Ovis aries: one gene and its partner. The protein of the gene in region 2 purifies or fractionates together with the protein of the main gene of each other region. This does not show direct contact. Links are inferred from orthologs where the notes say so. Each region holds a gene or a part of one and is shown on either strand. Other genes may lie near its edges. The genes, in order: PSMB7 and FBXO7.

Evidence for each region.
Region 1: the proteins of FBXO7 (region 2) and PSMB7 purify together in Homo sapiens (affinity purification with mass spectrometry; 3 studies listed by BioGRID and IntAct, counting the BioPlex papers as one, with this or other methods). This does not show direct contact. The link is inferred for Ovis aries from reciprocal best matches to the Homo sapiens genes FBXO7 and PSMB7.

What each region holds. Positions count from the first base shown.
Region 1 is NC_056056.1:11,429,714-11,433,540, reverse strand, and holds part of PSMB7 (proteasome subunit beta type-7), read right to left. Parts: intron 1,916-3,827; coding exon 1,800-1,915; intron 1-1,799. UniProt on the Homo sapiens protein: Component of the 20S core proteasome complex involved in the proteolytic degradation of most intracellular proteins. This complex plays numerous essential roles within the cell by associating with different regulatory particles.
Region 2 is NC_056056.1:176,715,445-176,718,478, reverse strand, and holds the end of FBXO7 (F-box only protein 7), read right to left. Parts: intron 2,614-3,034; coding exon 2,224-2,613; 3' UTR 686-2,223; downstream 1-685. UniProt on the Homo sapiens protein: Substrate recognition component of a SCF (SKP1-CUL1-F-box protein) E3 ubiquitin-protein ligase complex which mediates the ubiquitination and subsequent proteasomal degradation of target proteins and plays a role in several biological processes such as cell cycle, cell proliferation, or maintenance of chromosome stability.

The DNA of each region.
Region 1 (3,827 bases), about 170 Mb from region 2:
AGGAACGGAATGAGCAGACACAAATCTGCTTTACTCACTTCCAACAACCTTTCCTAAGTTTGGGATGATGCTCATAAGACAAATTACTACAATTCAAAAGCAACAGAAACCAACTCAATTTTCCCATCGCAAAAATGAAAAGGCCTTGTATCAATGTTAAATTTTCTGATTTTGATGATGTCATCAAGGTGATGTAAGGGAACATTCTAAAGGATTTTGAGGTAGAGGGTTATAGTGTCCACAATTTACTCTCGAATGGTCACACACACACACACACACACACAGCAAAAATGCACCAGAGAGCGAGCAAGAATGTGGTAAAATGTTAGGTGACAAAAATGAGTCAAGGGTATATATGACTATTCATTGTACATTCTTGTTACCTTCTTGCAAGTGTGAAAAGTCTTTTAATTAAAAAAAGAAGAAATAAAACTACTTAATAGAAAAGACTATTGCACCTTTACTACCATTTAAAGGCACCAGATGGGGAGAAATAAAAACAGTATCTCGATGGAGATAACAAATAAAATGGAACAAAGAATTCAAAACATTTCTAAAATTAGTCTATCTTCATTTTAAAATAATTATTCCATATGGTATCTGGGGGCAAATCATTCTTCTCACAAACAGGGAACATCTGTTATATACAAACCTCATAAGAGGCTTGAGTATTAAACATAATGAAACAGCAAAGTCTCACACTAACAATTTTCAGACTATTCAAGGCAGCAGTTATCCCTGGCTCTGCAGAGCCAAGATACCAAGGCAAAAAATGTGAAAGTTAAACAACATCTAGAAAAACGCTGGTTACACATGGCCTGTTCAAATTTCTGGATATATGCAAAAATTTCACTCAGAAATTGAGCATGAGAGTTAAATTCAAAAATCCCAACTCTTCTAATGTAATTTTATCACTTTTTTTTTTAGTTATTAAAAAAAAATATTCATCTAGCGTTTATAGCTAAAATACAAATGTACAAAGCTGACATAAAAAGTGTAGCTACTATTTACAGAACAGGCATTGGGTCAGATGGTTTACATACATCATTTTTAATCATCATACCCTGCATGCATGGTGGGCATTACTGACACCATTTCAGAGTGAGGAAATCAAGGCTGAGAGAGGAACCTTAAATGTCCAGGATCCCTCAGCGACTAAACGGCAAACAGAGACTCTGTCACTTAAAAACTCTCTGCACGTACCAGGCCTGTTCCCCAAGGCAGGCCTCCAGTCTTCCTTCTGCCTGGGAGCCCCTTTCACTCAAACCTCACCTTCTTCACGAACCTACTGTAACCTTCCTGTTTAACAGTATTATCTGGCTTCCACCCCAACATTCTCAAGTCCCCTTACACTGCATTAATTTTCTTTTAACTTTCTGTTTTGAGATAATTGTCAATTCAGAGGCAGATGTAAGAAATAATAAACCAAGTTTTCGTACACTGTTAACTCAGTTTCCCCCAAAGGTAGTATCTTGCATAATTGTGGTATAATATCACTTACATTATGTTTTTTTCTCCTAGTATTTATCACTTTCTAACATAAAGCTGTTGTTATTGTCTGTCCACTCCCATTAAAATATAAACTCCTTGTAGGCAAGACACTTAAGTCTAAATTTTGTTCACTGCTATATCCCAAGCAGACAAAACAGGCCTAATCCCCAGAAGGAAATCAACAGATATTTGTAGAAGGAATCAAAGCACATTGTGCTGCCTCCTCTATCAGGAAATAAACCAGCTCTTTTAGAGACTACTTTGGTAAATAAGAGGATTCTGAAACATCAGGGAAACATTACACTCACCCATGGTGACATAAGGCAACTTATCAGTTGATCCATGAGGATAGATGCTGTAGAGGTGAGGTCCAGTAACATCTACTCCCCCCAAAACTAGGGCTGCACCAATGTAACCTTGATACCTGGTGATCAGAGCATGCATAAGAAAAAAAAAATGAGTCTACATTGCATCACTATAACTTACTCAAAAGTTGCACGAGAAGTCAGACAACAAAAAGTTTTTCTTTCACTACTACTGCTTCATTAAATAGCTACTGTTCTGATGGGGAAAAAAATAAGGAATGGAGCAAACATATTTGAACATCTATCAGTCAAAAAAAACTGTAAATTGTATGAAGCACCCATGTGCCTTACATCATCTCTGCCTCACAACTCCCTTCAAAAGAAGACACTATAGTTCTTATTGTAGAGAAGGAAAAACCAACCCAAAGTCATTAGAAAGTCTCAGAGCCAAGCGTGGCTTACTCCGAAGATCATGAATACCCCTCCCATCAGACCTCTCTGTGATTCGAAAATAAGGTCCCTTCCAAGTCAATGGTGAAATGTCGTTAAACTAGAACTGTTCAAATTATCAACCTCACCACAGGAAAATCACTTTTGTCAAAATACCTTTCCCTTGAATAAATCCACAAAATTATGGCAGATAAGAGCTCATACTGAATAAAAGAAAAAAGTACTTCATTATGCAGGGAAGTGAACCATGAAATAACTCCATGACAGTTTATAAACCCATTGCTACTGTCCACAGTTTAAAGCCATCTCTCTCAGGAACATGGGAGAGACATTTTCCACCTGACCCCATCTGTTTAATTCTGCACATATTTGCTCCTTTGGACCCTCTACTTGGTTGGTTTTACACTTCTACAGATTTCTTTCCCTATATATGGATCAATTTTTTTTACCATTAGAACTGCTATACTGGATAAACATGCTGGCTTTAAAGTTCTCCAGTGTAAGCCTTTGGCTCTTTGGGAAGAAAAATGAAACTAAAACATGTTGAATTTGCCTGATGATACAATCATTAAAATTGATACAAATAAATTAACACAAAAACCAAAGTCCTAATTTTAGACTGCCTGAGACAGTTACCTATCAGGAAGTGCTCTAGGTCAAGTCCAATACTTCCTGCATCCCTTGATTACCAATTCATTACTTCAAATCTTCCATTTATAAGTGAAAAAATAAAGAGCAGGGAAAGATTTTAGAAGCAGTCTCAAGAGGGAAGAGAGGCCCAGACAGGGGAAGAAATTGGTCCTAAGCCACATGAGCTGGCAACAGGTTCAAGAGTAGATCTTGGAACTCTGGGGTGAGAAGCCAGAGAATCACCAGACCCACCACTCCCACCCTAGCCCAGTGCTTGATCCACTATATATATATATATATATATATATATATATATCTCCTGCCAAATAGACTGTTCAGTTAAAGTCAACAATAACCAGCTAGTTTCCTTCCAAGCTAAAACATAATCTGCTTGATGCCTTTAAAAGAGTCTAAGCTATTTTGGCAAGTCAATGAAATCCTTAAAAATTGATCCAGAAATTCTATTTCCAGGAATCTAATTCTAAAAATATAAAAGGATAAATATGCAGAAATGAATTCATAAGAATATTTACTGCAGTAACTGTTTATGATGCTAGAAAAGTGGAAACAGAATTACCTAAACTAATACACCTAGCTATACAGCAGAATACTACGCAATCATTAAAGATCAGGCCATGAGTTTCATACACAACTGATGGTAGGACAGCTTAGAACAATCTTTCTCGGCTACAATCCTGGCAATATGTATTAAAACGTTAAATGCTCCTATCTTTGACCCAGCAATTCCACTTCTAGGAATTTATTTTAGAATATAGCCTACAGAATTAATAACACAAGCACCTAAAGATTCCACACTCCAAAGGATCCACAGAATACCATATAATTAAACATCTTAAAACAGGCAATATTGTTACTCTTTAAAAATTGGTTAATAATATAGATTATTATGATCCAACAAAAATTAAGATGTTGCTCAATGGCTCTTAAATT
Region 2 (3,034 bases):
GGCAATATTCCCATTTTCTGCAGATACTGTTTTATTCCTGTTTTGTGATTCAGACTTTAATCTGTCACTGTAGCATGTTTCTATAGTTGTTTGTATGCTAAGATATTTGTGTTTGACCTTTTTCTTGTTGTAGGCAAAATAAAACTTGAATTTTGTGTATTTTAAGTCTTAAAAGCAAAATATTCTACGAATGATGAGGGTTTCTTTGCAGAACAAGTACCTGAGCAGCACTCAAAGCACTATACTTTGTTGTTAGAAGACGTCATCTACTTACAGGTTAGGCTCCAAGTATTCAAAACACAAGGAAAAAGAACCCAAACTCCACTCCAGAAGAAGTCAGAAACAGGAGTCCCTAACAACCCAATGGTGGCCAAAAAGCGCTATTTTGGAGCCCAGAAGTTTTGGCACAGAGCCTGAGGAGCAGCTGCAGAGAGGGGGGGAGGGGGCTGAGCTGGGGGGGTCCATTCACCTCACATCCAGTTCAACCAAACTGGCTCTACTGTGTTCATTCCATAGATCAGGCCTTTGCAAATAATTTCACGTGAAGAAAGGGTGCCGCTACAAAACAAAAATAATCCCCTGCAGCAATCTGATGACAATGAATAGCTTCTCTGATCATTTTCAAATGTCCAAGTAATACTGTAATATTACACATCTTTCTGTAATAAAAGTCAAGACTGCCATGTAATTTACACTTAATATTTTATTCTGGTATGCAACATTATCAGTGTGTAACCTGCATTCTAGACGGTAACTGAGAGGGGATGTCAGGAACCATATTCCCAAGGCCAACCCTGTCGAGCAAGTAACCTGTGAGCCATACCACTCCTGGAGCTTTAACAATTAGGTTGGTGCAAAAGTAATTACAGCTTTGCATTGTTAAACATTGCTGTTTGATATTGGAATATTCTTAAATAAATGTGGTTATGTTGTACATCATTTTAATGTGCACTTCTCACTTTATGTTTTTTTGCTAATGACTTGCTTATTTTATATTTTAGACTAGGGAAATGATGTTAGACAAAAAGCTAATTTGAGTGATTTTCTTATTCAAGATGGGTCGAAAATGGGTCCTCAGGCAGCAAGAACTTGCAACATCGACATCACATTTGGCCTAGGAACTGCTAACACAGTGCAGTGGTGGTTCAAGAAGTTTTGCAAAGGACACGAGAGCCTTAAGGATGAGGAGCACAGTGGCCAGCCATGGGAAGCTGACAACGACCAATTGAGACGATCATTGAAGCTCATCCTCTTACAACTACAGGAGAAGCTGCTGAAGAACTCAATGTCAACCATTCTATGGACATTCAGCATTTGAAGCAAATTGGAAAGGTGAAAAAGCTCCGTAAGTGGGTGCCTCATGAGCTGACCAAAAATCAAAAACATTGTCATTTTGAAGTGTTATCTTCTCATTGTACCAACAACTATTTCTTGATCAGATTGTGATGTGATGAATAGTGGGTTTTATACAACAACTGGCAACAACTAGCTCAGTGGCTGGACCGAGAAGCAGCTCCACAGCACTTCTCAAAGCCAACCTTGCACCAAAAAATGATCATGGTCACTGTTAGGTGGTCTGCTGCCCATCTGACCCACCACCAAATTTCTGAATCCTGACGAAACTATTACATCTAAGAAGTCTGCTCAGGAAGCCGATGAGACGCACTGGAAGCTGCAACGCCTGCAGCTGGTGCTGGTCGACAGCATGGGCCTAATTCTCTATGACGACACCTGACCGCATGCAGCACGACCAACACTTCAGAAGTTGAAGGAATTGGGTTATGAAAGTTTTGCCTCATCTGCCACGTTCACCTGACCTCTTGCCAACCACCACTTTCTTCAAGCATCTGAACAACTTTCTGCAGGGGAAACGCTTCCACAACCAGCAGGAGGCAGAAAATGGTTTCCAAGAGTTCATCAAACCCCAAAGCATGGATTTTTATGCTATAGGACTTCTCATTTGCAGAAATGTGTTGATTGTAATGGTCCTATTTTGATTAATAAAGATGTGTTTGAGCCTAGTTATAATTTATGATTTAAAATTCATGGTCTGAAACCGCAATTATGTTTGCACCAACCTTAATAAGTTTATAAAAGGTTTCTGTGAGTCCAAGTCCCACCATCGCAATCAGAAAACAATAGAGGTAGCACCCCAGCAAAATGACATCTGTAGTTTTAAAGAAACAAAACCAAAACAAGCTCCAGAGTGAGGTAACAAATCAGTCACATGAATGGTAGCCGGCTGTCAGTTGGCCAACCCCTGCTGGGTCTTAAGGGAAATCTGTCACTGGGGCCACCTCGCCCTGGCAAGGTGGGGTTAGGACCTGGAAGTGGGCCCACTGGGTCAAAACGTGGTCTGAGTGGAGGGAACTGGCTGGGTGTCTCCCCAGGCCCAGGGATGAGTGAATTGATTGGGTCCCCGACATAGGGAAGGGTTAGTCTTTGATCATATTCACCACCGATAATTCCTGGAGGGAGGAGAGAACTGGGAGGAAAAGGTCTGGGGTGCAAGGGGCTGGGGTAGAATGGAATGGGGTGGGGGGATGACGGCAGGAACATCGCGTGCCGCCCTCTCTGGGCTTCTTTCCTCTGTCTGTACCTCTTCTTGTACAGCTGCAGACAGATAAGAACAAGACGTGAGTGAGTTGGACACATCCCCAAAGTTCCAGCTGGCTTTCATTGTACAGATGTATACATACTTCTCTTTTCCCACAGTACGGAGGCAGACAAAGAAGCTAGCACACTGAAGGGAACTTCTACCAGTTTCTACCTGCATGAATAAGGTAGTAGCTGTGAACACAATGCCAAAGGCAGTCTAGTCTTTAACCACACTGCAGCTCAGCAGCTGTGCCAATCTGGAGTAACAACACATCCAGAGAAGGGATGAGTGAGTGACACGGACTCTCAAGAATGCAATCTAGCATTCTCAAGCCGATATGAATTTCACGTCAGCCTTTTCTGAAAATGGAAATTTTAAATATTTGTTGAAAATATCATGCCATAGAATGTAAAAAGTTACAGTATTGGCAGGGAA